Linked DNA regions of Lytechinus pictus. The main gene of each other region encodes a partner of the protein of the gene in region 2 in a complex. Links are inferred from orthologs where the notes say so. Each region holds a gene or a part of one and is shown on either strand. Other genes may lie near its edges.

Evidence for each region.
Region 1: mitochondrial import inner membrane translocase subunit Tim22-like (region 2) and acylglycerol kinase, mitochondrial-like share a complex: the UniProt entries of both Homo sapiens proteins name them as parts of the TIM22 complex. The link is inferred for Lytechinus pictus from reciprocal best matches to the Homo sapiens genes TIMM22 and AGK.
Region 3: mitochondrial import inner membrane translocase subunit Tim22-like (region 2) and mitochondrial import inner membrane translocase subunit Tim29-like share a complex: the UniProt entries of both Homo sapiens proteins name them as parts of the TIM22 complex. The link is inferred for Lytechinus pictus from reciprocal best matches to the Homo sapiens genes TIMM22 and TIMM29.
Region 4: the proteins of mitochondrial import inner membrane translocase subunit Tim22-like (region 2) and mitochondrial import inner membrane translocase subunit Tim10-B-like are in contact, whole or in part, in a cryo-EM structure (PDB 7CGP), measured with the Homo sapiens proteins. The link is inferred for Lytechinus pictus from reciprocal best matches to the Homo sapiens genes TIMM22 and TIMM10. Residues at the interface, in NP_037469.2 of Homo sapiens: Tyr25, Ser26, Leu28, Leu29, Gln30, Tyr31, Leu32, Val33, Arg40, Leu42, Leu47, Gly48, Glu67, Glu144, Ser145, Tyr146, Gly148, Ser150; in NP_036588.1 of Homo sapiens: Pro3, Ala6, Gln7, Leu9, Ala10, Ala11, Leu13, Glu14, Val15, Met17, Met18, Ala19, Tyr22, Ser44, Lys45, Gly46, Glu47, Arg53, His62, Glu63, Gly66, Leu69, Thr70, Ser73, Met74.

The regions. Positions count from the first base shown.
Region 1 is NW_026974140.1:1,665,059-1,673,052, reverse strand, and holds the start of acylglycerol kinase, mitochondrial-like, read left to right. Parts: upstream 1-4,974; 5' UTR 4,975-5,009; intron 5,010-5,657; 5' UTR 5,658-5,737; intron 5,738-7,994. UniProt on the Homo sapiens protein: Lipid kinase that can phosphorylate both monoacylglycerol and diacylglycerol to form lysophosphatidic acid (LPA) and phosphatidic acid (PA), respectively. Does not phosphorylate sphingosine. Phosphorylates ceramide.
Region 2 is NC_087246.1:19,694,195-19,701,793, forward strand, and holds the start of mitochondrial import inner membrane translocase subunit Tim22-like, read left to right. Parts: upstream 1-4,578; 5' UTR 4,579-4,619; coding exon 4,620-4,863; intron 4,864-7,599. UniProt on the Homo sapiens protein: Essential core component of the TIM22 complex, a complex that mediates the import and insertion of multi-pass transmembrane proteins into the mitochondrial inner membrane. In the TIM22 complex, it constitutes the voltage-activated and signal-gated channel.
Region 3 is NC_087255.1:1,813,106-1,820,710, reverse strand, and holds the start of mitochondrial import inner membrane translocase subunit Tim29-like, read left to right. Parts: upstream 1-4,603; 5' UTR 4,604-4,622; coding exon 4,623-4,722; intron 4,723-7,605. Other genes in the region: calcium homeostasis endoplasmic reticulum protein-like, read right to left, coding at 1-19. UniProt on the Homo sapiens protein: Component of the TIM22 complex, a complex that mediates the import and insertion of multi-pass transmembrane proteins into the mitochondrial inner membrane.
Region 4 is NC_087246.1:16,543,389-16,551,156, forward strand, and holds the start of mitochondrial import inner membrane translocase subunit Tim10-B-like, read left to right. Parts: upstream 1-4,765; 5' UTR 4,766-5,108; coding exon 5,109-5,179; intron 5,180-5,837; coding exon 5,838-6,030; 3' UTR 6,031-7,768.

The DNA.
Region 1 (7,994 bases), on a different chromosome or scaffold from region 2:
GCTAACCGTCCCTAGCCAGATCAAAAATCAACTGCGCCGTATGTGCTTGATACGTAAACCTTCAGACCTACGATATCGAACCACACCCTTATTTATTTGCATATTCAAATTAGGCCTAGGAAATATTTTCAAACGCCCTCTATAGTGAGGAAATAATAAAAAATCAAATAAATTTTCTTATTTATTCTGACACCTACCTTTGGAGTAACGATTTCTGCTGATCTTACTTGGAAATCACCCCGGGGGGGCACTCAGTATATAATGCATAGTGGGTATGTGCCGCGGAGGGGACCCCCATTTTTACACTTAAATTTCCGTTCCAAGGCATAGCATTTTTGTCTTATTGAGAAAAAGAAGAAAGAAAGCCGCTCCAAAGCATAGCATTTTCTTCTTATCGAGAAAAAAGAAGAAAGAAATCCGCTCCAAAGCTTTGCATATTTTCGTTACGCCGTTCCGGTCGCATTGATCTGCTACAATGAGCTGCAATTTTGGTGAAAAGCGGCCGCAGAGCGCTGTCCGACCATTGCCTCTGCGCGAGCGCACCCGGCGGAGGCCGCGCTAGCTGCATCATGCACGCATGCCTGTCTGTTCCATAGGGATGCATCATAGGAATGCATACGCACTCACACGCTGGCGATCCGTTCCAAGGTCCCCCGTTTTCACAAACATTTGTAGTTCCGAAGCCCGTTCCGAGGACCCTCCTTTTTACAATAAGCCCGCTCCAAGGCCCCCGTTTTTTGTCTCGCCCGCGGCACACCCCTACCACTTTTTTGGTCGAGTGCCCCCCCCCCCCCCCCGGGGAAATCACACTATCAGCGAATAGTCAGCAAAGCAAATAAGACTGCAGCTCTGATACCAAAGGGAAAGCTTACAAAGCTCTTGTTCGTCCACACCTGGAGTATGCGTCTGCTGTTACTGATCCCTACCAGGCTAGATACATCCATATGTTAGATAAAGTTCAGAGAAGAGCCGCTCGTTTTGTGATCAACGACTACAGTCGTAAGTCCAGTGTTTCCAGGATGCTAAAACAATTAGAGTGGGAAAGTCTTGTTGACAGCCGACTCAATGCCAGATTGAGCCAGTTCTACTTAATTCATAAGGGGGAATCTCCAGTAACGTCAACCAAACTCCACCTTAAAACTCTAGCCGTCCAAGTCGACGCTTCACACCAGATGCCTACAATATCATCAAATCCAGAACTGATAGGCACCTGTACTCATTCCTGCCCAGAACCATACGGGACTGGAACGACCTTCCCTTAGCCATTACATCAATGCAATCGCTTGACAAATTTAAGGCTGCTCTAAACTAATCAATTTCGCATCTGCACCCGACCACAGCATCATGGAACTTTCGTTCTGTTGCTGGGTACCCGTGATGATGATGAAGTGACGTATCATCGGCATACAATATAAAATGTGGTTCATGGCAAGAGTTACATTAACAATGTCTATTAAAAATAATAAAGGCTCAAGAATAGAACCTAGGGGCCTACCTGTTTTAATTTCTCCATGAAAGACGAATGGGTATTATTATAGACAGTAAATGTAATAAATATGACTTGAACCAATTAAAAGACACTCCTCTTATACCATTATATTGCAACTTTATCATGAGGAAGAGAATCAAAAGTCTTGGAGAGATCTTTAAAAATTCCCGTAACCTTAATACCGGCATTGAGCTCACTAATTATTTTATCATGAATTTCAATAAGTGCCATTTCCTATAGTAATTTTGACGGAAGCCGTATTGACTATCATATAATACATTGTGACATAATAAAAAATTGTATAGTCTGTTAAAAACCAATTTCTTTAAGATATTTGAGAAACATGGCAAAATTGATATTGGACAGTAGATGATGAATAGATTAGGATTCTCCTTTTTAAAAACGGGAACAACTTTTGATATTTTCAGTTTTGAAGGCGCAATTCCAGTTTAATACAAGAGAGGAATTAAAGATATGTAAGAGTGGGTCTATAATGAAAGGTAAAACATTCTTCACAACACATGGATCAATGTCATCAAATACGGTACTCTTAATATTAGATAGCGATTTACTGATATCTAATATTTCTTTTTTTGTAATCGGTTTAAAAAACATGAGAAAGTGGGTCACTCATATACATATCAAACAAATTAAAATGATCGTCATTGGGATCATTGTTTTTGCTCGATCTGATATTGACAAAATATTCATTTAAATTTTCTGCAATTTCACGAAGTCACTAATGTTACAATCATTGTGTAAAAAAGACTTTTGATTATCAGAATTATTTTTTTGTTTTCCCAAAATGTTATGGATAAGTTTCCACATTTTATTAGAATTTGTTTTCTAGGATTCAAACTTATCAAAATGATATTTTCTTTTCAACTGCCGGAGATTCAGGGTAACAGCATTTCGAATCTTTTTATATTTATCGTGATTAGCTTTCATAGAGTTTAGGTACAATTTATAACATTTATTTTTCTTTCTTGTAAGCTTCATCATATTGAGGGGAATCCGTGGCTTTCTATTCTGATAACGTTTACCAATATACTTTGTACTGATTAGCAGATACTTTATTACCTTGTATAACAAACATCTGCCAGATGTTTGTTATACAAGGTAATAAAGTTTAATGAGTCATACGCCATCTCCGGGTGGCTTTGTAGGTATACTTCTGACCAGTCCATGGTTGAAAGATCAGCACATAAATGATTAATGCTGCAGGGGATATCTTCCTGTAGGTGTGTACATGTACTTTTCATTGCTCATATATTACAATATCTGACAAATGTTACAAATGGAAGATAGGAAAGTGGTTGGGAATATCTGGTAAAAAGGCACCGACAAAGGGGAACGACTAAAAACATTTATGAATATATTGTCAATAATAGTTGATGATCTACTATTGGCTCGTTTAGGTCTGTCTTTAATGGAATAAAACCCCGATGAAATCACATGGTTCAAAAAATGAAGAAATAGAGGGCTTCCAGATTTTTTTAACAAATCGATGTTAAAGTTGCCCATTAAGAAGAAACATTATTTATATAACTATTATTCATCAGTCTATCAAAATATGAAGTAAATGCAGAAATACTCGATTTCGGTTTGCGATAAATTATCCCAATCATGATACTCTCCCCTGATTTGAACTCTATTTCAATGTGTAAATCATTGACACCTTCATAGTGCTCTGAAAAATCACACAATTTTTAATTCATATCCTCTCTAATAAATAGACCAACTCCACCACGGCCATTTAGTCGGTCACAATGTAGGAACTTCAATTGAAAAGGGGAAATGAGAGTTTGAGTTGATCCATGTTTCCGATATCCCAATCACTGAAAATCTAAATCTGATATTTGAGAGAAAACTGTGAATGTAATCGAAATTTTGAAATTAACTTCTTGCATTGAAATGGATCATGCTCAAGTGTCTTGTTACAGAGTTTTTGATAATTTCATTGAATTTGGAGGTCAAGTGATACTCACATTGGTAGAGTCAGTATATTCATCCTGGCCATTTTCCACAAGTTGTCGGTCTATATTATCTGTATCGACAGATTCTCTTGAAAAACGGAATAAAGATTCAAATTCCTAGTCATCAATTTCTGCAAATGGGAGAAGGTAAGTATCGTTTAAATTTACAGATGAGTTATTGATGGTTTCATCTTTATTCAAACTTGAGTCTATTATTACATCATTCGACATCATTAACAAGATGTAACAGGACAAGAACACAAAATCTTCACAAAACACAAATATGTGAAAAACAATTGACAAAAGGTAAAATACTATTTCAATCACTATCTGTTATTTATCTTTTAGAGTCAGATAATAAACCGACTGATATAAACCAATCTGAACTGGAATGCAACAGCATTGATTTTTCTCTCAGGTTACAGATTCTCCAAGTCTTTTTTTCTGTGATTGGTTTTACGAATTGACTTTCCATTCGTGGTAGTTAACAGGACTACGATTCGTCCATCAGAGGACCAAGTTCCATTGACCTTTGAGTGTTTCTTCGCAGCCCACAGAAGTTCCTTGTTTGTAGTCCTATTGCCTCCTCTATCCCCATACCAGTACCTTTCAGTTTCCTCCGTGCACGCAGGACACTGTTTCGGATTGGGTATGAACAAAACTTGGCAATAATGGCACGCGGCTTCTTGTTCTTCTGATTGATGCCTGCAGATCCAGAGTCTGAAGTTGGTTTATCACTCCTTGGAGCAGCACAATGCGATCTATTGAGATCGTTTACGGTTAGATGGACACCAAGACGCTCAGCAGCTGTTTGACAAATAGCTTCATCCATATTTTCTAATCCATTCTCCTTCACACCATAAAACTTTAGACAATTGCGGCAAGAATATTGTTAAAATGAGATATGATATTTACGGAATATTGGATGGCATTGAGTGGATGCGAAGAAATATTGTTCTTCAGCAAGTAACAATATTTCATCCCACGAAAATTGGTCATCCAATATTATTATTATTATTTAGAAATCCCCACAAAGCCAAACAAAGTAATGAAGCAAAACCATCATTTATGGCATTCCTGTAAATCATGAGCATGGGCGCCTGATTATTGTAATTTAAAAATCTTTAATAAAATAAAGATGCGCTAGCGTATAATGCAAGCGCATTTGAATTCAATAAATCGATGCTCCTTTACCACACCTGTCAACTAATACACAATACAATTTCATTGTGACATAACAATAGGTTCACGCGCACAATCATTTATTAACCAATGATAAGCTTGTGGGCGGGGCAAAACATTAATTTTCTCCAATATTTTCAATATTGGATGGTTTCCATAGGCATGCACGTTAAAAATCACTTAATATTTTGTCTCTTTAAAACAACCTCGCAAGACATCAAAAACATCTGCGCCTCTAAAACCCTACATCCAAATAATATTGTGAGTTATTCCTCTTTGTTGCCTTTATCATTCTGTTTGTTTGTTTTTATTCAATCTTTAGGGCAAATCTGTTGAGAACAGAGTACTGCAAACAAGCACAGGTAGCTATGCATTGAATATTATGATCTATTATAAATATTATTCACAGTCAGTTGCAACATTTGATAGTTTCATGACAGAACTAATCAACTAGTGTACTTTGTATGTATTGTGAGCTTTAAAGGTTTGCATGGTGGTAAGACTGAATGGAGAGTTTTTTTATAACACCATGTAGGTTGGTCCTTAAAAGGACTGCTGGTTTATCTTACTGACAGTAGCTCTGAAAAGAACTGTTATCCAGGACATTTCGAGCAGATAAGCGTTGCTTGTCGGCTATGTACATTGACAAAATAACTGAATGAATTTCAAATGAACTCTAAAAAGGGGTACATGTATACATGTAAAAATCAGTGTATGACTTTAGGGGATTGGGTGGTCAGTCAGTTGGTTGGTCTGTTACAGTACATATTTTACATTTCAAACCATTTTCTTAGTTTTCACCAAATGCTCATGAGACTGATACATGTACAAATTGGTCACAAAACATTTTTTTCTTTTGATGGGTTGGGTACTCGCTCTATTGCCACAAAAAGACAGATGGCAATAAACTGAGCTAAAATGCTACATTCTCGCTGGGGTATTATTATTTTCTTCAGTGGTATTTCGCATTGACATTAATCACATGATATCTTGATGTTCTGTGATTATAGGTGTATGGACAGCAACTGGAAAAGACTTTTAGCAAACCTGTCAAAGCAACTGTCTTTCTAAATCCAGCTGCTAGAAAAGGGTAAATATTATTTGTTATACAATCACTTTATAAATACTTGTATTTATCTGAGATGGTTCAACCAGCTCTCATTGGGTTTGTTTTTCACTGTTCGCTAGGTCATTTTATTTCGATTATTTTTCTGATATATACCCATACTTGGTGGCACATGTTGCCAAGATAATGGTCTGCATTGTCAAATCATGGTTCATTTCTTTTTAATATACTAAATACCTATTAAAGACCCTTCATTTTTGTCTCACCTGCATAGCAGAGTGAGACTATAGGCGCCGCTTTTCCGACGGCGGCGGCGACGGCGGCGTCAACACCAAATCTTAACCTGAGGTTAAGTTTTTGAAATGACAGCATAACTTAGAAAGTATATGGACCTAGTTCATGAAACTTGGCCATAAGGTTAATCAAGTATTACTGAACATCCTGCCTGAGTTTCATGTCACATGACCAAGGTCAAAGGTCATTTAGGGTCAATGAACTTAGACCATGTTGGGGGAATCAACATCAAAATCTTAACCTAAGGTTAAGTTTTTGAAATGTCATCATAACTTAGAAAATATATGGACCTAGTTCATGAAACTTATACATAAGGTTAATCAAGTATCACTGAACATCCTGCATGAGTTTCACATCACATGACCAAGGTCAAAGGTCATTTAGGGTCAATGAACTTTGGCCGAATTGGGGGTATCTGTTGAATTACCATCATAACTTTGAAAGTTTATGGATCTGATTCATGAAACTTGGACATAATAGTAATCAAGTATTACTGAACATCCTGTGCAAGTTTCAGGTCACATGATCAAGGTCAAAGGTCATTTAGGGTCAATGAACTTTGGCCAAATTGGGGTATTTGTTGAATTACAGCCATAAATTTGAAAGTGTGTTGGTCTAGTTCATAAAACTTGGACATAATAGTAATCAAGTATCACTGAACATCCTGTGCGAGTTTCAGGTCACATGATCAAGGTCAAACAGGCGCGTAGCCAGGGGGGGCGGTGGGGGCGGTCGCCCCCCCCAAAACGTCCCAAAAAAGAAAAAAAGGAAGGGGAAAAAGAGAGGAGAAAAGGAAAGCGAAGGGAGGAAGGGGAAGAGAGGTTGCTTTGTGGGTTTTTCTTTTCATTCTTTATTTTTCTCTCAAAAGAATTAGTACCTTAACGAAACTCCTTCACTCTCGCTCTAAATTTATATATATATGAATTTTGCTTCCGCGCTTCGCGCGGTCAAATGACAATATTGCAGTTCTCCTTTCCCTCACCCTTTCTTTAACCCTGTCTTTCCACCTCGGTTATAGGGCTAGTGCGTTCCTTGCTACTTAAAGTTAAAATGTATACATTAGGGCATGGAATTAGAGTAAGATTAGGCCGAATTATATGAAGTTGTCTTTTTTTCCTTCAAATTGATCACGCAACATTCCGCACTTCTGGTCGGGTCGGCTCCCGGCGGGTAAAATCTTTATATCAAATGTTGCCGTCACCCCCATATAGGCAACTTCTCCCGCTTTAGCTTGTTAATAAACATTCATAATTTTGGGGTAAACAGGTTCCTAATTGAAAAAGAGGAAGGTATAAAATTCGTGTCGTATTAAATAAAAAAGTACAATATTTTTATCAAATTCGATGAAACTTCATGTCATGTCTCAGTTTGAAATTTTGAAAGACACTTAAGTTTCTTAATTGTTCAAATGCGAGCGCTTCAGGATGAGTCAAAGAAATTATTATTTTTATAATATAATTTCAATAAATCACAGAAGCTTCAACTTTTTGCGCTCTATTTTCCTTGTAATGAAGTTCAATAATCTTAGAAAATCAATAGAGCCGATGGGGGTATTGGAGATATCTGCATTTGACGTAACGTCCGCCCTTAGAAATTTCAGAGTTTCATTGCTGTGCGCGTGGAGGAATGTCTTCCTCCCGGCACCCTTCTTCTTCTCTGTTTTGCGAGTTAAAAATATGCACTGTCGCTAAATTGTTTGTAATCAAACTTTCCACGGGAATTCAATATACATGATATAACTAACTTGATACCCTTTTCCCGGGACCCTTTTCTTAAAAAACAATTGATAAAACGCTTTAGCTTCCGCGCTTCGCGCGGGGTAATTGTTATTTTAATTTCCTCCATTTATCCCTTTTAGTGCGTTCGAACATATCACAATCACTTTTCAAATCAATGTTCAAAATCAGAATATAGTCAACTGAATTGGAGCTGACGACAAGAGAGACGGCTCCTTTTCATTTTAATTTATGAAACACCGAAAACTCCC
Region 2 (7,599 bases):
GACTGACATACATATTTAAGTGCATCCAATCATGGACCTATACTAGCAAATATATCCATGATCCAATATATATATACTCTTTATGAAAGGGTGGTAATGGGTAAAACGAAGAGTGACAGTGTTTTTAAAAAAGAGTGGAAAACGGGGTAACTTCTCGGCCCTTTTCCATCCTTTTCCCATTTGTGTTTTTAGAGTATACATAATCATTATTATTACAAAACTTGAAAACTTATTTTTCATTCACTCGTTTTGATTGAATGATAGATTGATTGTCGTTCAAACTCTGCTTGTATCATTTACTCATCTTATTCCTTTTGGGATCATTTTGTGGGTACTTTAATTTCGTTTGGTTGTAATCGCAAATAATATTATACTGATGTACAGGCCTCCTCCAAATGCTTTGCCAGGGTATAGGGGGTAAGACGACTTCAATGTGTATGATATCACTATTTTCTCGATGGAATGACGGGTGTATAAAAAGCACGTCAGTATTATATACCTTTCGGATTTTCTTTTCTATTCTGTACTTTTTTAGGGGGTGTGATTTTTTCTCTCTTTTGGGGGGCGGGGGCGGTCCCTGTTTTTCATTTTACTATAGGATTTGCCGGCCATTATCCATCTCCTATTCAACTTCGCCGGATTTAGTGCTTTCAGAGATAACTTGATCTTGTATTCCATTTTCTCGTTTTCAAACAATATGGAGTTTGAGCTAGACTGTATATTCATTGAATTAGAATAAAGTGTGCTTGTTTACCTAAATTTTCATTCCATTTGGAGTAACTAGTTTTTGCATTTTAATTGATAGCATTCACAATGTAGCATCATGTGCGCTTTAATTGGTCAAAATTCATTTCGGTTGCCTTTTGTTTGAAATGCCCTGCATGTATAGGCCTATACTTTGTTCAAAATTATATTATGTGTATCATGCTTTGTACTATGTCTATTATATCATTGTTAAAAATGTTAATGCAAATATATGCCCTATTTCGGAGGGAAATAACAAAAAACTTTTAAAAAAAATTATTATCATGACAATTCATTATTTGTCACAACTTGATATATAATTTAGGCATGTATATCGGATATATTGGGTATTTCCGTGCAAAAATGCAATATACCTTGATTTTACCCTAAGTACACCCACAAATAATTGTCCAGAATATGAGATATAATAGCAAACATGCATTTTAATGTTTTGAAAATTACTAAACCTATAAACCTATTGCGCATATACATTCGTAATTCCGAAGCTTCGTTATTCCGAAGGTTCGGATATTCCGAAGGTTCGTTATTCCGAAGGTTCGTATTTCCGAAGGTTCGTAATTCCGAAGGTTCGTTAGTCCGAAAACGAAATGAGGTTCGTAATTCCGAAGGTTCGTTAGTCCGAAAACGAAGTGAGGTTCGCAATTCCGAAGGTTCGTTAATCCGAAAACGAAATGAGGTTCGTGATTCCGAAGATTCGTTAGTCCGAAAACTAATGATTAACGAACCTTATTTCGTTTTCGGACTAACGAACCTTCGGAACAACGAACCTTATTTCGTTTTCGGATTAACGAACCTTCGGAACAACGAACCTTATTTCGTTTTCGGATTGACGAACCTTCGGAACATCGAACCTTATTTCGTTTTCGGATTAACGAACCTTCGGAATAACGAACCTTCGGAATAACGCCACAAATGTTCGGATTAACGAACCCTTTTACGTTTTCGGATTAACGAACATCGAGGTATTGGCAATTTACGTGTTTCGGAATTACGAACCTTCGGAATTACGAAGTGTAACCGTATTATTGCACCCCCCTGCATTCCTATAACTTTAATATAAGCACATTCCGAAATGTCAAGTGCGAAATGCTAAAAAAAAAAAGGGGGGGACACGGGCCGGCTGTGCCCCCCCCCCCCCGATCCGCCAGTGAGTCATGTAGATCTAGACGCCTACAGACTTATAGGTTGATGAATTCTGATCAGAAATGGCCAGTTAAATTTATCGGATGACGACTTTAAACTAAGTCCGCTCATTATCATACGTGATTTATATCTCTATCGGCTACCTGTGAAACACCATCCATAATAATGTCAGAGAAGAATTATTATTAGTGAAGCGACATTAGAATTGAAGGTGATCAAAAGTCATGATATGCAAATTAAACAAGCAGCCCTCGGCTAGGGACGGCTCCACACTGAGGGGGGAGCATGAAGCATTTTAATTAGTGGGAAAAATAAGAAAACAGATGAGACGGAAGAAAGGGAAAGAAGAAATATATATATTAAAAATGTTCTTGACCGTGTAACTACATAATATACCCATATTAAGAGGGGGTTGGGGTGGTTGGGGTGCAGGTTTGGGGATATGAAGAACAATTAGGAGTTTTTGTTAATGGAATTTAATATCCGGTCCTAAGAGAAAGATGATAAATCTGAGGTCAGCAAAAGAGATTGGTTATAAACCGTCATAAAAGTTGTCAAATTTTACTTTAAAAATACATACCCTAATGTGATTCCAGCACTCAGAGCGGCGAAAATTGTAAGATGATTGTACGATGAGATAAGGATAAAACATTCAGTTTATCTTTCCAATCGATCCGTATAATGAACTTAAAGGGATAATTCCTCGTTATGATGAAGATACATCTGACTGGCTCATTACCATGGCAACATACTCTCCACTAAACGGGAGTCCTCGTTGTTCCTGTGTTGAGTAATCCGGCTTTGTGTTTTTTATTTAGCTAAAGATCATGGTTATTGGTGTTATTATGTATGTCCTCTGTCTTTAGCGAGCTGGTACTGGTAGTCATATTGATAGATGTCGGTAGAACACACTCATCAAAAGCCGGACTCAATAGAGGTATGACGCGAAGACAGCACCGAAGGTCATGAAAAATTGTCGCCAGCTCCCGAGTAACGCCGTAAATGGAATTTACTTATTATTGCTCACCGACCGCTTGCGCGTGTGATAGTAAATTTCACTCTGCTAACTCAAGATGACGTCACAACATTTCCCTCTGACATTTTCTCACTTTTGTTTAGTTATAAGTCAAGGTCAATTCGTGACTCTAGTATAGATCGGAGCAGGGGCGGATCCAGGATTTTCCAAAGGGGGGTGGCACATTTTCCCATGAAAATTTGACAAGCAAAAAAAAAGAAAAAATGAAAAGGTTTTCACCTAAAATCGGAAGGCATTTCTTTGAAAAGAAAGAAGAAAAAGAAAAAAAAAGTTCTCACTTTCAATAGGGGGGCACACTTGGGTAAAGCGGTATTACAAATTTGATCATGGCTCTCAAAAGGGGGCACGTGCCTGCTGTTCCCCCCCCCCCCTGGATCCGCCAGTGTATCGGAGATATTTCAGGATTGTGTGCCAATTAAGGTGACGATTATTTTCTGAGAATATATACTCCCGTCTATTGAATAAAAATCGTGTCGCAGTATGGAGCAGGTGGGCGGATCCATGCAGGATGATCGAGGGAGCAAATGTATGATAAAAGTGTCAATTTCAAAGGAAAGATTCTTATAATATAAACTCATTATTAAAAGGTAAATAGGCATGACAGGACCCCGGACAGAACCTACCATTATATTTGACAAATTGTGGGCACTCGCAGTCAGTGGGACTTCATCCCTCGAGGGTTTTTCAAATGAAGTAGTGCCCCGTTTGGTCAAGGGGCTGTGCTTTCAGTGATGACCATTTTTTTGTTGCTTACTGCTATATGGTGAGAAAGACATTTTACCTTTATTTTTGCTCTTAAAAATATGTTGTAGAAAAATATGCCCCTCCCCTAAGACTCCTAGATCCGGCCGCGGCAAGCATTGCCCTGCTGCCACCAGTGACCTGTGTCCCATGACCTCGATGGGAGTCACCCGTTTTTCAAGGTCTTCTCTTCCGTTTACCCCTCCCCATTGGCCTCCACACACTCATCACATATGAGCTTCTATTCCCCCCCCCCCCTTTGTTTTCCACATTTTTTGTATTGTATTTCCTTTTCTTTTCCCTTCTCAGCTCATTTTCTACCACACTTTCTCCTTATCTTATCTGTTTCTTTACTTATAATTTTTCTTGATATATTTCAATCTTTCCATGTGTCTTTGTTTGTTTTTTTTTTTGCTTTTTTTTAACTTTAATTCTTTTTTTGCCTTATTTGTCTTGTTGGGGGCGTGTTTTTTTTTTCTCTTTTATTATGAAGATTCGAGCAAGTGAACCGTAGATATTATGGATGTTAATCTGCAGAGAATGGATAAGGTTTTGGGGGGTCTTTACACAACCCTGTATCAATTAACTTATGAATCCATGATAGAGGCCTGACGGGCGTGGTGATGGCAATAGGCGTTTAGTGATGATGCATGCCTTGATGATGATGATGATAATGAGGAGGAGGAGGAGGATGATGATGTTGTTGATGATGATGATGATATGATGATACATGTATGATGATGTTGATGATGATGATGATGATACTGATGCCGGTCTCTGCCAATGACTTGGATACAGATTCCCTCTCATTCATGAAAGTGAACAGAATGATTAATTTGTGCTAGTCTTGTGTGACGGTTGTGGCTAAAAAATTTAATCAGGGTCTGTACTGTACCTGCAGACTATCGATCCATGCTGCGCGCACTGTGTTAAGATGGCGGCGCCCAGTAGTCAAACACATGACGACGGAGGAGCAGGTTTAATTAAAAATGAATCAGATCCTGGAGATTTACGTTTATTAAATGTGATGGAAGCATTAGTTGGGGAAAATAAGAAGCGGTTTAATTCAGAGATGAGGCAATATGGCCTTCCCCTTCCACCTAAATCGCCTGAGGAACAAACGATTGAACGGGTAATGGAAAGCTGCACATTCAAGACAGTCATCAGCGGTGTTCTCGGTACGTATCTCCCCATACCTCCGGCAGGGCAGGGCGTAGACCAAAAGCTTCGGTCTCTGTTATGTTGGTTGTTCAGCTGAACTCCGTTGGCTTCACTCACCAAATACAGAGACCGAAGTTCTACTTCTAGCGCGATCTGTACAGGGGACTCAATGGCCATATGTTTATGTACTTAAGATCGGATAAAACGGGGAAGTGAATTTGCGCGACAGCCGAGGTAAGTCACTGTTTTTGTTCTTTTTAACTTGATTTTTCTCTGTTTTTTGGCAATTAATGCCAAGAGGGAATATTCATTTGCGTTTTGGTCGGGTTAATTTTCAAAATTTTTATTCATTAAAGACAAAAATTGAAGAGCCCCGATGGGGGGATTTTGCATTGCAAGTCCCCTAATGGTGGCTGCACGCTAGCGAGCCGTCTGTGTATGAGGAGAAATTAAAAAAAAAAAAAAAAAGTTAAAAAACTCCTCGAAACAGACGGCTGCCAGCTGTCTAGGCAGGGCGTAGACAGGAATAACCGTCGTTTCTGGGGATTTATTCAACAATTTCTGACATTTTACTGTAATCCCCATTTACCGACGGTAGGGTGTACGTGTGGGCTCGCATGTGTTCTCATTCCCTCCCTTTTGTCAATTCACAGTCCAAAGTTTGATGTAATTTTACACATCGAATTTACAATCTAAGGATGTATAAACAACAAACTTTTAAAATTCAATATTTTAATATTTAAATACTTTAAACGATATAGATGAAAAAGGCATGAAAAATATACTTTACCGATGTTTAATTGGGTTGAACACGATAAAAATGGTCAAAATGGCAGCCAAACTATAAAATATTTACAAACGAACGTCAACAATCACGAATGTGATATCGATATTGCTTTCGATATTATACGATCTGCTCCATATGCGATCGAAACCGAAGATAAACGATACTAGTTATACTAGTACTAGTACTAGTTATAATCGCGATATATCGATTCGAGACATTAAGTTAATAACGATAATGACGTCATTCAAGATGGCAACTTGCAAGAAAAACCGTCAGGTCAGGTGAAAATGTCTTAGATGACAGATTTCTCAATCATCCATAGGATTTTTTTCAATAACTCCGGCCCAAGGTATGCAATTACTTAAGTTATTTATATTTCCCTGATAATGGAAACCATGAAACTTTCAATTTTGCTTAAAAAACAGTTTTAAATCGCGATCTATAAAACGCTAGTTCACTATACGTTGGCTGTAGGTACGGGGCCCCATCCCCTTCAGTCTATGTATGGTGAGTGGAGCCAACGTAGTTCAGCGGAACAACCAAAATACAGAGACTGAAGCTTTTGGTCTAGGCAGGGCGTAGACAGCTGGCAGCCGTCTGTTTCGAGGAGTTTTTTAACTTTTTTTTTTTTTTTAATTTCTCCTCGTACACAGACGGCTCGCTAGCGTGCAGCCACCATTAGGGGACTTGCAATGCAAAATCCCCCCGTCGGGGCTCTTCAATTTTTGGCTTTAATGAATAAAAATTTTGAAAATTAATGCGACCAAAATGCAAATTAATATTCCCTCTTGGCATTAATTGCCAAAAAACAGAGAAAAATCAAGTTAAAAGGAACAAAAACAGTGACTTACCTCGGCTGTCGCGCAAATTCATTTCCCCGTTTTATCAGATCTTAAGTACATAAATATATGGCCATTGAGTCCCCTGTACAGATCGCGCTAGAACTTCGGTCTCTGTATTTGGTGAGTGAAGCCAACGGAGTTCAGCTGAACAACCAACATAACAGAGACCGAAGCTTTTGGTCTAGGCAGGGCGAGCCAGGGGCACCCATGGGTTCATATCGTCTCGCGTGCGAAGGAATATCAGTCATAAACTCATATTCACACGACACACACGACACATTGAAAATAGATTGGGCTTTTGCCCACATAAAATATCACGCATAATCTGGTATTTCACATTCTGCTATGACACTTACCGAATCATTTAGATCCTTCCGTGACTTCTCCTTGAAGTTTCTTTAAAAAAATATGTATATTTTCTTGATCTTTAGTGAAGATTTCACGGAGATAAAAATTGGTTGGTGTGGATATCAATTTTCTCCTAAAGAGGGCGCGCGATTTATATTCATATCAAAGACACGACAAGGGAAAGACTAGGCACCTACACTATTTTACACGCAAATCCACGCAAGGCATTACGCGAAGTCCGTGAAGTGTCCAATCTTTTCATTGTATAGACTTTGGTATACCGTATTATTGACGTTCATTAAAGCTTGTACTGCTGGTTTCGTTACAGGCATGTGTATTTTTTTCAATTTTATTTTATTAGTCATCGTTTTAAATTGATTGCAAAAAAGTGTTATCATCGCCAATAGTAATCTTGAATTATATTTTTTAAGGTATTTCATTTATTGGTGCCCATAATTAGTAAATTAATCATAAGAATTGCACATTCAAAAAATTTAGACACAGTTATAAAATTACCGAGGAGCTGAATCAAGGTTGTGAAATTTATTAGCGCCACCAATGGGCTTCCTTGTATTTCCGTAGAAGAGACAAACGAAGTCACTTGCTAGGCCGAGGTAAGCGAAATTTGCTCTTTTTATCATAAAATAATTTCAAAATCATATGTATAATTTTTGTATGTATTGCTACTTACCGGAAAGAGCCCCGGTGCGTAGCGAGAAGGAGTTTCGGCAAATATTACTTCACTGTCTTCAGCAATGAAGCGATGTTTGCCGACT
Region 3 (7,605 bases), on a different chromosome or scaffold from region 2:
GTTGTGGAGCCACTTCCATTTCCTGTCCTTTTAAATGGGATTTTGTCGTGTTTTTTATTCTCTCTGGAACTTGGGCTGTGGAGTATATACCGCCGCGCTCCTAGCTCGATCCGCAATTCAAAGATCTAGCCGACGGTTTTATGCTAGCTAGTCGTGTTGCCGTTTTGATACGGCAACACGACCTTAGCTGGAGGAAGAACACAAGAGAGATACGGTACTACCGGTATAGAGATTTGAATAACCCGGGGAGCGTTTCATCAACATTTCTTTCCGACAAGTTGTCAGATCTGACATCTCTCCTTCATTTTGATTGGCTGAGAAGCACTGTAACTATGGTAACTGTCAGATGAAATGGTCGGATAAAACGTCTGACATGTCCTTTCATATGCTCCCCAGTTTTATCTGATAGTTACCATAGTAACAGTGCCTCTCTGCCAATCAGAATCAAGGAAAGTTGTCAGATCTGACAACTTGGAGGACAAAAATGTTGATGAAACACTCCCCTGGGATTAAGGCGAAAGGGTTAAGGATTGATCAAATTAAATCACAAAAGGAAGTTTCAAAGATCAGACTTCAGTAATGATCCCATGATATTTTGGTCGCCATTGATCAATAGGGGACCATGGTTAATTCACTATACCTTGAATCCACAGATTTCCCCTCCTCTCTGCATTGCAAGGGGGAAATGGCAACTGAAATAAATATCTTTTTTCTCTATTTCACACTCCTTTTCGGTCATTTCTTTTCTCTCCCCCCCCCCCCCGGCCCCTCTCTCTTACATGGGCGGGAATCACAGGGGGACAGGGGGACGTGTCCCCCTACCAAAAATATAGTAGGGGGACACAATATCCAATGTCCCCCTACTATTTTTGGTCTTTTATGATGGAAAGAAATACATCATTCAAAATCGAAATAAAACATGTATTTTGGACGAGATGACCTTATAACTTTTTTAGTGATAACCTTTTTTTTTTGCTAGTCAAATTTATTTTCTTTTAAATGATCTTACATTTGAGGTGATAACCTTTTTCTTTATTTTTTTTAGTGTCAAATTTTCCAGCCCCTGGTCCCCCTACCTTTGGGGAGAGATTTCTGCCCCTTATATTTCTTTATCTCTCTTTTTTTATTTCCTTTCCCTTCTTTTCCTTCTCTCTTTATTTTTCTTTCCTCTTTTTTTTTCTATATGCTTTCACGACGGGGGATCCAGCTTTTGACAATGTCCATTATGAGATCCGAAGGAAAAGAAGAAAAAAAGGATTTAAAAGAGAATAATGAGGAAAAAGAAAAGATGGGCTTACTATATCATGACTGTATGAATTTTGAATCGTTTATCACGTAGGTCGAAAGATTATTAACTGTGAATCAACAAATGAAATGGATTTTTCACATGTATAGGGCCTACTTAACTCAAGTCTTAACATGTTGGAGACTTGGAGTGAAATTAATTTTTCTTGTAAATATACATCATCGCGGGACAGTTAAACCTGGGCGTTGTGGCGTGCGCCTGTAATCCAAGCTGTGGGGGAAGTTACAAATTTATGCAGAGGTTCGAGGTTCGAGCCCTGCATGGTCACGTATTTCGGATGGTGACGTTAAAGGTAGGTCCCAGACGTAAACAATCTAATATTTTTTATACACGTCTGACAAAACTCATACACACACACACACAGTTAAAACTGTTTATCGCCATTTTATGGGAAACATGGTTAGAATCAGAAGACGTGATACTATATATGCCCTAATTTGTAGCAATTATATATGCAATAAAGTCGAGGCATCCATGAAAACAACCGGTTAAAATGGAGATAAAAATGGGGCCCGGATGCATATTTCATAAGGAACGGTCTATTTGATGGATTTTTTTTTTTTTTTTATCTTTGATGGATTCCCTAAAACCCTCACCCGGTATCATTTCAATTATTTTCTGTTATGTTTACAATAAACTTTATGTCAGGGTGAATTTCCCCTGTAATGAATTACGTACAATAATTGGGATCCAAAGTGTGCTTCAAATTTGAATATTGTGGAAGAGCGATTTGACATGAGAAGGCAGTGTATGTATGTCCAGGAAAAAATAACAAATTCCCACTCAAGTGTTATCAATTCGGTGCAGGAGATCTAAAGTGTTATTTAAAAATGTTACCCTCTTTCCATTAGTCCAACATTATAATTCTAATTTTCTTCTCATAACCTTTCTTATTTAATTTACTGTACGTGGAGGGGTTTTTTGATTTTTTTGCGCGGGGTTTAAGACTGGCTTTTTTTACCTCAGCCATTTTTACCTCTGCCATTTTACCTCTGCCATTTTTACTTCTGCTATTTTTGCCTTTTTCGTTTTTCCCTCTGCCATTTTTACACCGAGCCTAATATTGCATTCATTACTTCTGGCATGATGATTGTCCATGTATATAGAACTCTTTCAAAAAGATTAGGTAGAACTTCTCAATTGCAAAATCAGGGGAGCGTTTCATCAACAATTTCGTTCGACAAGTTGTCAGATCTGAAACTTTTTCTTGATTTTGATTGGCTGAGAAGCAGTGTTACTATATGGTAACTGTCGGATAAGAGCGTTTCATGCAAGGATTTAATTCGGACATTCATCCGACAAGTCCCATTTTATCCGACAGTTACCATAGTAACAGTGTCTCTCAGCCAATCAGAATTGAAGAAAGATGTCAGATCGGACACTTGTCGGACAGAAAATTATGTTGATGTATAACGCCCCCCCTGCATGGACTTGACAGATAAAACGCCTGACAAGTCCTTTCCATAGAAAGGACTCTATGGTCCTTTCATGCATGGATTCAGCGCTCCCCTGAAATCCATCCTCGGCTAGCTCCGGGTCGGCATAAGTCAGTCGGTTAATTTGATTTATCTCTGATTATCAGCAAACATTTTTTCTCAGACCCTGAGAAAATGTACTTTAATAAATAATAAGATTGTTCATATGAATGAAGTATGCTAATTAATCTATGCATAAAATAGAGAATTTTCTCCAACTAACTATAAGACAGCCCCAAACAGTAAATTTTCTATTCACAGATTCTTTGTAGGATCCTGATCAAAATGTAATTTAAAACAAAATTCGGTATCGCATTTTTTTGTATTTTCTTAATTGTTTTTTAAATTGTTTATGTAGGCCTTTAAAAAAAATGTTTTGATTTTTTTTATTGCTTTCGATGGAAGTTTTTGTCGACTTGATTCTGATCATAAACAAAATAAAATTAATTGATTTCATTCAGTAAAAAGTATAAATAATGATACATTTATAAATATTGACTAAAACACAATTTGCATTGAATATGAATTCGCGTTTTTATAGTAATTACTGGTCTGGCATCCATGCACTTAGATTTTGTTGCGTATAATTTTGTACCCTTTTTGGGTTGAAACTAAAAAGAAAAGTATATTCCTGTAATAGCCAAAAAGTGAAAAAAACATCTTAAGAATTCAAGTTGAGGAAACATGCAGGGATAACACCTCATACATCTCGAAAATATGAAGCTTTTGATTTCGAATAAATAGCAGTTACATTTTCTCAATTTTTCCTTTTCTTTTTATCCCCTCCAATTAGGCCCTATTGCAAAAGGGGAGAGGATGTTATTTTTTCTCTAGGGGGAGTGGCACTGCGGCTTTGGGAGCGGAGAGGAGGCGGCTTTTGTAGCTGTTTATGTTATGGTAACTCCAATAGAACTCTAGAATAGGACAGCTTCAGTTGTTTGCTGATATACTTGTAATGCAAGGCTGGTACGAAATACCCTATTGTGGGGATCGAGGGTACGTGGGGTGGATGGGCAGCGTTATCGTCACTGCATCCAACGCAAGAGGGTGCGATATAATTAGCCAGATACGCCATGGCCCTGTGAAGCGGGGGTGCTGGTGCTGACGGCTAGCACCCCAAAAAATTTTCTTGTTGGTGCTGCGTGTGTTATTTTCCATATAGGCAGCAAAAGTCAAAGATTTGTAAACCTGATTGAAATCCTCCAAAACAGCCTGTTATCATATAGTTATATCGTCAAGATTCTCACAAGATAGGCCTATACCCTCTTGTGTCGGGTGCACAAGGTCACCACTTCCGTGTTTTAAAATTAGTAAGGTAATTAAATAGGGGCATCATACCCACTGAACTAGAATACGTATTTCTAGTTCAGTTATCATACCCCCCCCCCCCCCCGCATACCACACTCCCCACTCCGAGGCAGGGGGAGTGCATGACAAGCACATTTTTTTTACACACTTTTTTTTTAAACAAAATTTCATATTGGTTTCCTCCCCGGTCTGCTAACAGCATTATAATTACTCTTCCACTTAATATATTACACCCTCTTTTCTCTTCTTTTCACAAATAAGAACATGATCATTCCTATAGTCCATCTCTCAAATTGGTAGGCTCTTCTTTCCGTTTTGTTGTCTATCTTCACTTCACCTCGTTCCACTTTGATTTTTGTAAGTCAAATTTTTTTTTTTAATAATGAAAATTATTTAATTTTATAAAATACATTTAAATATTAATAATTGTAAAATTAGCTTAAAATCCTTTAAATAATTATTTCGTGCGTGTATATATATTTTTATTATATCTCTTTATTAATGTCTTGACAAAGACTTGGAATTTATTCAAGATGGCTGCGTCCATGAGACAAATGCTGTCGCGACTCTCTACCGCAAAAGAGGGATTGAAGGTTCCAGGACGTCTTAAAACGGGTCTCCCCAAAAAGATAGGTAAGATAAAAGATCATGGCATTATCCTGGTTAGACAGCTGGCAGCCGTCTGTTTCGAGGAGTTTTTTAACATTTTTTTCCCCTGATATTACTCACAGCTCAGTCCAGTGAGTCCACAGACGGCTCGCTATCGTCGACGTCGGGAGGTGGCTCCGGCCCGCGAAGGCGTGCCGGAGCCTAGTCTTGACTTGAGGACGCAATGATGATGACTTTTAAAATAATGAAATATACTTCTTCATCAATATACTTCTTCATCATTGACGTCAAGACGTCAATGATGAAGAAGTATATTTCATTATTTTAAAGTCATCATCATTGCGTCCTCAAGACTAGCCGGAGCCCAGGGCCAGGGGCCTGTTGCACGACGAGATGAGCGATACGTAGGAACGTCCTTGAGTCTTGACTCCTAGGACCATTCTTCCGAGAGAGGAAGATTGGCGACAAATCAGCGCTTTCCGTTTCACGAAGGCAATTTTGTCTTCCAAGCCCGCGACATCGTTTGATATCGATAGTATCGGAAAATTATAATTTAGTCTTCATCGCCACCTGGCTGAAGCTGAACCTTTTATTTCGGAATGACGACTTTTCATCAAATCATATATTTCAATAAATGGAGATCAAGTAATGTTTTATTTATTACTGATTGTAGAATTGATGTATGGAGCTTACTTTATGAGGTAAAAAGAGAAAAAAACTTTAAAGATTCACAAACTTAACTGGATAAAATTAAAAAAAATCACATATTTCCCTTATTTAGAACTCGGTGTCCTTTTAGTTTTAGAGACACCTTTCATTGATATTTCAACGAAAGAGATCCTTGTCCGACATAAAAATTGAATTAATTAAGTAATTTCGACATTGTATTAGGTTGATATTCTGATTTTTTTTATGGAATACTTATTCATAATGATAATTTTGCAAATTATGTGTTAAATGTTATTTGTTGAGGTGAAAATTGGGTTTGAATGGAGTAAACAAAATCGACGTGTCTGATTGTATGAGACTAAAAAGGAAAATATGAGAGGCTGTGTGTGAAAAATCTAATTTATTTATTTTATTTGTCAGATACCGGTATAACGCAAGAAATACAAATGTGAGTGTTAAGAGTATAAACATACCTTTGCATAATACCGAAGACAAGCAAAATATGAAAATTGCCGCTGCAAACATGTCCAAGTGGGTAAAGTAGTGCTTTTCAATAGAAAAATGTGTAAAATCAATCTGCAATGGAAAAAATACAGTTCAATGCTAACAATGACTAAGATCATTAATGTTGGTCATATTTAAATGATAACTTTATGGAAGTTTATATAAGAATATAAGCTTTAAGAATATAATATATGTATATTTTTAACATTTTAAAGTTGAGGAGTCAAGACTATATTTTGCTTTAACATGATATAGGGGCTGATAACGGACTTTCCATAATCTGATCTTTTATAGGTACAATGAACTTATCTTAATATGTAATGACTGATGGGTTCGTAAGCTATAGGCCTTATTTATATCTTAATTTCAATTAGCTACATGTATTTTGTTATTGCAGATTTTTTTTCCGTTCATCAACTCAAGTTAGCAACCCAACAATTAATATTCATTGATTGAAATTAATCTCAGCAAAAAAATATAATGAAAACGAAATGAAATATAAATAAATGATTTGCACGTTTATTTATATCATGTTTTTTTTTTGCTGAATGTTATAAACATGTTTTTTTACCATACCGTATTTTTAAAATTTGTTTTCATTTTTATTATCTAATGAGAAAGCATGAGGCGTCAGAGAGATTGCCGCCCATTTCAATATTTCAAGTTTAATTGAAAAAAACAAACTGGAAAATGGGTGGGGAAAAGACGGAGGGAGAATAAAAGGAAACATGCTAAAAAAATTATTTGGGCCTATAGTACCCGGAGAAGTTAAAATGACTTCCGCTTTTGGTCGTCTTGCTGTGCAAGAGTCGACAACCTGAAATTGATGACAACTAGCCCCGATATATAACAAATAACTTGGCGCCATCCCAGATAAAATGCATCAGACTGCAATCGAATGGAATGACCCCCAAAAATGTTTAAAGGGGATATGTCAGTGTGGCTTGCCGTAAACGCATTTTCTCTCAATGCCGACGGCGGGGGTGGTGTGCAAAGAAGAACATGCCTACGTAGGACATGTCTGGAGGTGTCTTTCCAAGGACCATTCTTCGTATCGCCCAAATCGGCTTTGTGAACCAGTTGAGCGATATCTCGTTCTTACGTAGAACAGTTCTACGAAAGACCCTTTCATGCAACAGGCCCCAGGACTCGTTCGTGTAATACGAGACGGACATATATTCTCCAAAATGGGGTAGAATGGGGTCGCAATAGCACTCAAAATAAAAGGGGAAAATATAAATTATGCACTTACCTCGATTATATGGAAGGTCTATCGTGAGACACATAATCCTGACATCGAGTGATCGAGGCACAATTAAACTGGACCCTCAAAAAAAAGGAAGAGTTCTGTCTTGTTCGTTCTCCTTCTGTCAAAATTGAAACCAAAATGGCCGATCGATACCAAAAACGAACGCGACAGAGGTCTAACTTTTCCTTTTTTTTTGAGGGTCCAGTTTGTGCCTCGTCGCGCGCCCTCGATGTCAGGATTCTGTGTCTCACGATAGACCTTCATCCATATAATCGAGGTTAGTGCATAATTTATATTTTCCCCTTTTATTTTGAGTGCTATTGCGACCCCATTCTGCCCCATTTTGGAGAGCATATGTCCGCCTCGTATTACACGGACGAGTCCTGGGCTCCGGCCCGCAAAGCGGGTCTGAGCTCCCTGGGTTAGCTATCGTGCAGCCACCATTAGGGGGTTAACAATTGATGCAAAATCCCCCGACAGGACTC
Region 4 (7,768 bases), about 3.2 Mb from region 2:
GGCTGAGAATATGGTAAATGTCGGACAACTTCTTTCATAAAATATTTTTCTGGCATTATGGCTCGTTTTGATATTGTAAACAAGGAATTTTGTACACGGTCAACATTGGTCATTTTATTTTAGGTTGTAACTATTTTGAAGAGGATATCCTTCCATTACTTGTTTCTTTTCTAATCAAAGCTGAATTAGATCTACATTGTTTTCTTCTTTATTTCATTAATATATATGTATTATGTACATGTATTACAAACCTTATGTAAAAAATTGTGTACAGATTATGTAGTATTTCTCAAATACTGTTCTTCATTTTTGACCCTGCTGGTTGAGATGTGCTGTATTCTTTATGTTAAGTATGTCAAATTAGAACAGGGGCAAACAAGTTTTGTTCACAACAAAGTATGTTACAAGATATTCTATCTTTAAAATTAAAAAGAAATCAAGGCAAGGGGATATCTCCGAGTTTGTCAAATGTGCTGAACTCCATGTTTGGTGCTGATATTGTGAAGAATTTCAATAGTAAATTCTATATTTCAATATTTCATGAGGATATCTCTTGTTTAGATGGTGAAATAAGCACATGTGAAAAGGGTATGATGTAAATTTGACCAATCAAAATAACTATTTTTTATGGGTGATTAAATGGATGTGAACAAAATATTATTCTACTATCCCCTACCACCCTGAGACTTCCAAATGAAATGGATAGTAGTCATTAGTACCATACTTTTTTTTACTTTCTGTCAGTATAGATAAACAGGCAATGTCAGGGGGTTTTTTCACATGGGTAGGGCTAGCCATGGGAGATTTATTTAAAGGTCAAGTCCATCTCAGACAAAGGTTGATTTGAATCAAAAGAGACAAATCAAGCAAGCCTGTGCTGAAAATTTTATTAAAATAAGATGTAAAATAAGGAAGTTCTGACATTTTGAACTTTTGCTTATTTTTGTCAAAACAGTTCTATGCATAACTCAGTGATATGCAATTGAGACAGTTGATGTTGTTAACTCACAAATGCTTAATAACTTTTTTATTATATGAATTAAGCAACACTTTAAGTTTTCCAGATTGATAATAAGCATCCTCTTGATTGAACCATGAAAGATTAAGCCAGATGGCAGTTTCAAAAGTTTTGAGAGGACTTAAAATTTGTGTCACTTTGTAATGAGGAGAAAATTAAAATACTTTTTTTATATTCATATCATAAATTACAAAAGAAATAGTGATTGGATGATGTAAAAGGTTCCCTCATTTGCATAATGACCGGTATATGCAAATTACTGTCTTGTGAAATTACTCAAAATTTGTAAAATGTCATACTATACTTATTTTATTCTGATTTTGAATTTGATGAAATTTTCAGTATGAGTTCAGCAAGATTTTGTTTTTCTTTTTATTCAAATTGACTTGTTTGGGTGGACTTCCCCTTAGTTCCACATTTATGTGTTTGTATCCTCCAATTAAAGTCAAATCTAGTGAACCCCTTTTACTCCTGATTTTGGCTAGTCTCCTGTGCAAACCCCTCACTTGAGTTAAAGGTCTGAATGTGCAGCCTACATATTTACTGAAACAGCAAGTTTTATATATGCGAGTCTTCTGTGGAGACTCAATTGTTGATCAAAGCTTCAATTAGGGTCTGTGCCTGCAGACTAGATTAGGGCTATGTGGATTCTGAACATTTTTGTTGTGTTGTGGATTTTTCTTTATTGCCCCCTCTCAAAAATGAATACAACATGTGTTAATACATGTATATATGTTTTTTTCTAATTAAAACTTGCACAAGTTCACGAAAGCTAAGTGTTATGTTCATTTATCTGCATGGTTGCATGGGGTTTTGCATGATGTGCAAATTTCAATTTATTTTCAATTCAATATTCCAATAAAAAGCAATGCAGAGTATAGAATAGAGTGATAACACCATACAACAATGATAAGGCAAACAAAGGTATTAGAAAAATAGAATTTAAAGAAGATACATGTTCAATTGATTTGACTAAAAAGAATCGCCTCAACAAAAATCCCACTGACTGGCCTTTCGTTTCAGTTATATTAATTCCTTCGCATTCTATAAGGATATTTCAATGGGTACTAAACAATGGTACAGAAAAGCTGAGAATATTGGCAAACTAAATAAAAATGGTTTCAGTTCTGCCGTTTTGTCTACTGCCATTTTGTCCACTCACCATATGGTCTAATGTCATTTCGTCAGCCATCAGTTGGTCCACTATCCACATCGTCCAATTACCATTTTGTCCAATAGCCAGTTGGTCTAATAACCATTTTGTCTATTCTCATTTGGTCTAATTGCATTTTTTTGCCATTTGGTCCAATAGCCACTTTGTCCAATCTCATTAGGTCTATTACCATTTGGTCTAATAGCCAACTGGTCTAAAGGCAAATAATAATAATAATAATAATAATAATATAGAGTATTTCTAAAGCGCCAAATCCACATTGATTATGTGCTCAAGGCGCTGAAATATACTTGGTATATTATTATTACCCCGGCTGTAGCTGAGCGGCCATACAGGCGCTAAAGCATTCAAGGAATAAATCCCACCGGGTACCCATTCACCTCACCTGGGTCGAGTGCAGCACAAAGTGGATAAATTTCTTGCCGAAGGAAATTACGCCATGGCTGGGATTCGAACCCACGACCCTCTGTTTCAAAGTCCGAAGACAAATCCACTGGGCCACAACGCTCCACAATAAATAAATAAATAGTCTAATGACCACTTAGTCTACTTTCATTTTGTCTATTGTCCATTTGGCCTAATGCAGTTGGTCTACCATCACTTAGTCTAAACCCATTTTGTCTAAAAATCATTTGGTCTAATCACCAATAGGTTCAAATGCCATCTTGGCCAATCATTTCGTCCAACATTCATTTCATCTACAACCATAAATAGTCTTCTACTATAGCAGCCCTCTATGTGTACGGTGCCTGTGTATTGCTGACTCGCCTCCTGTAGCGCTCAGGATTTCTGATTAATACACACCTGTTTTTGTTATTTTGTTTTTGTATTTTTGGTTTTATTCACATGACTTCCTCTTATTTTACCTCTTTCCTTTTCTCCCCTCACCTACTTTTTTCTCCTCTTTTTTTTTCTTTTTGTGTGTGACTATTTGACTATGTATTGTTACTTTGATTTTGTTGTGCTTTGTGAACGGAAAATGAATAAATCTAAATCTAAATCTATTATAAATATTAATTACCATTCTTCTTATTATTATTACTATTATTTATTCATTTTTATTATTATTGTTATATGATGATGAATGATCGATGATTATCATTTTAATTGTTATATCCGACCAGAATTTTGAGTTACTTAGTGGGCTCATATACTGACAATAGAGCTTTTAAGGATTGTGTTAGTAAAAGGATATGTATCTCCTTAATCAAATAATTCAAGCACGAAGCGCGAGCTGAAAATTTTTGATATTCAGACCAGAAAAAAGGGGACATTTTAAGGACTGTTTTTAGGTTTTCATGAAGAGCAGACATATCTCACCAATCCGCGAATGCAGACCTAAGCACGACTGGAAATGTTTTCGGAGGCTATCACATTAAGTAGTCATGAAACAGAAGCATATGTCACTACATAAAATAGTAAAAGCTCGAAGTGCAAGGAAATATATTTGGTGTATATTGACTTGAAAACGGGATGTTTCAATACCATTTAGTGCCATTGAACAGGATGATCTATCTCATTAAACAGACAATGCGAGCACCAGGAGTGACGAACACATAGGCCCTAAGCAAATTGTGTTTCATACAGTTATGAAAAATATATCTTGTGTATAATATAATGCAATATATAATACAAATGTTAAATAATATAACATTAAAATAAAATACAATGATTTCTTCTTTCCCCACTACATTTCTCTTTCTTCCTCTTTTTCTCCTCCCCCTCCCCCGTTTTTTTTTTGCCAGCTGAAGGGGGTGGGGGCATGTGTTCATTCCATTCCTGATAGTAGTTATCATGATTTTTTAATTCATTTTTTATTTTCAATAATTTCAAGGTATATATATTTAAGTAATTTTGCCGCCTCTGCTCGGATAATGCAACGTATTTGTGTTTGACAAAATGGCTATTGGACCAATTAGCTATTAGACTAAATGGCTATTGGATGATTTGGGAATTGGAAGAAATTGGTTGTTAGACGAACTGATTACTAGTATCGGACCTAATGGTTGGTGGACAAAAAGATAATTAGACGAAATGGCAATTAAACGAATTGATAAGTAGACAATTTGAATATTGGACCAACTGATATTAGCCGACATGGCTATTGGACCAAATAAATGTTGGACGAACTGATTGATGGAAGAGTTGGCATTAGCCTAAATGGAATCAGACTAAATGGGTGGTAGACGAAATGGATATTCGACAAAATGACGACTGCTGGACGAAATGGGTGGTAGATGAAATATTGATTGACGAAATGGCATTTGACAAAATGAAGGTAGACCAGTGGGATGGCAGTAGACGAATTGGCAATTTAACATAAAAATATGTGTAGTAGCTAGCTCGACCCCTAGATAGCCCCCCCCCCCCCCCCCATAAATGCGTGAAAAGGGGCATATTAATCTTAAGTCATCACAGCTCCCATGCTTCTGTAGAAAAAAGTCTTTTATAAAAATAATATTCAACTATCCACTGTCATAAATTGAATTGAATTGAAATTGAATAAATCGCAGTTTGTTTTGAAATAAATGAGATGAGATGAGCAGCTCAGAGTAGCCTTTTTTCCAAATAATTACTTTTTTATTTGTGTAAGTGCGTTTACCATAAGAATTGCTTGGTCCACGTGCATACTAAACAAAATTGCAACGAATATTGAGAGGAGAATCGATCTTTGTATGTTTAATAGTTTCAATATCCGTCGATTATCATAATTTATACTAATTCGATTAATCATCTGAACCTAAACTGTAAAAAAATAAGGATATATTCATTTCGCCAGTGCCATCTTCGCTTCGGACTTTGCATCTGCTTGACGGACCGCTCGTCTCATTATCCGCCGCAACCTCGGCGTGGCAAAGACGGCACTGCGCTAGAGAGGAGACTTCACAATTCCTAGTCGAATAGACTTGAACAATCATGAATGAACAGCAGCAGCTTCAGCTCTTGGCTGAATTAGAAGTAGAAATGATGGCAGACATGTACAACAGGTTAGTACTGCTAATGTAAACATGGTAAAAGTAGTAAAAGTGCATGTGGCTGTTCTCCGAATCATATTTTCTTTGACATTATTATACTAGGCTGCTCCACATTATATAGAGTCTAATATTAATACTTTTAATACTAATAGTAATATATTAAAAATTCATCAACTCGAATACCAATTTTTGATAAATTGATTGTTGAAAAGTCTACCAATCCGTCTATGTAATCTTTTCTCATTTTGTAAAACGATGTTCTTGCGGGATGCAGCAAAAAATTATTATTTTTGACCGATAAATATCGCATGATAAAGTTACAATAGCCCCCTATCTCTTAAATTTTCTTGTATTTTAAGGAAGTAAGCAGAACTTTCAGAACTACCTTTTTCAATGTTTTTTCTCGATTAGTTATCTTGCGCACAGATATTTTTATGTGCCATTGTGATTGTCAACTTTACGCATCATAACTGTGATGTCAAACATGCTCATTCAAAGTTACAAAAAAATTACAAGAAAAGATACAAGAATGTCAGACTACGGATTTTATCTGAAGATACAAGATAAGACAATTTTCAGAATACGGCTCCAGATCCTATCGTCCTACATTTCATTATCTTATACCATAATTTCAACTAATTCTTAAAATGTATGTACTTTTCTTTTTTAGGATGACTGTTGCTTGTCAGAAGAAGTGTATTCCACCTACCTACAAAGAAGGTGACCTTTCTAAAGGTGAAGCTGTCTGCTTGGATCGCTGTGTTGCTAAGTATTTGGAGGTCCATGAGAGCATTGGTAAAAAATTGACTGAGAAGTCAGCCCAAGATGAGGCCATGATGAAACAAATGCAGGGACAGAGTTAGTGATGATCTCCAATCAGCCCAGGGCCCAGGTACATTAGAGATGCAATTCAATTGAATGTACAATTCATTGAATTGCTTTTAAAATGTTATAGGACCCAGATCAGATGTAACTTGTGGATGCAGTTATCTTGGCCACATATCAGCTTCATGAAAGCATTAACTATTAAGTCCAGAGGAGTTTGGTTTTCAGCAGTGGTCAAGGCAGGATATCGCCTGTTTGTAAGATCATATTTGAGAAGTTTAATTTGTAACTTGTCCAACGGGCTGAATGAAGGACAAGAGAATGATAACTGAGCCATGCAAGCCTCACCCACATTGAATTTGATTTTTTTTTTTTAATTAGAAAATTATGATAATACTCTGCTTTAGATTAAGATGCAACTTCTGTGACACAGAATCTGGTCAGTTTGTATATATGACTAGCATTCTCTTGCCTTGCATTTTTGCATCATGTTTGCAAAATTGCTATAGGTTTAGCAACGATGCAATATTTAGGTGCAATCACTCTGCAAGTGTTGCAATGATGTTATTATCCAGCGTGTTCTGTGCAGACTGCAGAGCACAGGATTGCATGGTAGATTTGAGAGGACAATATATTGACACTTTTGCTAAATGTCACAGAAGGTAAATCGCAGATTTAAAGCCATTGATATTGGCGGAATTGCGGGGGTAACAAAACTCTGTGTATCTAGAAAGGCATGTTCTGGAGAATTAAAAAGAAAATTATTCAGTTTCATTTGAGCTTATTCAGCTTTGCCAAAATTTCAAATTTTGTATTGTAGTCCATAGTGCATACAATTCCAAACTTCTGATAGTAAGCATTTTTTAATACAAGGGTGAGGCTTCAAAGTGAAAATCAATACTGTATTTTTCAAACATATGTTTCTAAAGATGGATAGGATAAAGTGACCATTTTCAATAAAATGAAAAAGTATCCTAAAACACCTGAGGTGAAAGATTTGATTCAGCATATAATATGAATAGGTTAAATTAACAATCAATATGTTGGGTTGTAATGGGTCCCGAGCCAAAAATCCTTGATTTTGGTATCAATAACCTTTCATGCATGGATCAAGTATCGGGATTAAATCTTTGTTAAGAGATTTTGATATGAGAGTTAACTTCATAAGTGTTAAACAAATAGGGCTACATGTATGTACAGTGGTGTACATCTGCCATCTCGTCAATATTTAATTTGACAAAGAATTAGTTTTTGGAAACTTGGGTAATTTTCACTACACTTTTGTAAGATTGGTATGTATATTTGTCTTTTACCAAAGCTTTAATTATACCATGACTGTTTACATATCATCAGTGATACTAATCACTATAAAAGAATGATCATCTGAATGTACTTGACTGACTGGTATAGGCACACTTGGCATGTTAAGAAAATTGATGTTTGTTGAAATTTTATTCTTGCCAAAGTTGCCATTGATACTCTTAACAATTTACGAGTGAGCAACTACCATGGTGACAGCCAATATTCCATGGTTGGATAGCAAAATTATCACAAAAGTAACTTTGATGCAACTACCAAAAGATAAAAGCAGTTACGGGCAGATTCATGATTTCTTAAAATGTGGAGAGGGGCACAGGCTGTAGGTCAAATCAATATTCTACCAAATTTATGAAGAGACCCCCCCCCCCTCAAAAAAATAATAAATAAATAAAAGGGGGAGGGACTGGTCTCGCTCATCTCATAAAAGGGCGTGCACAACATACATTTTTAAAAGAG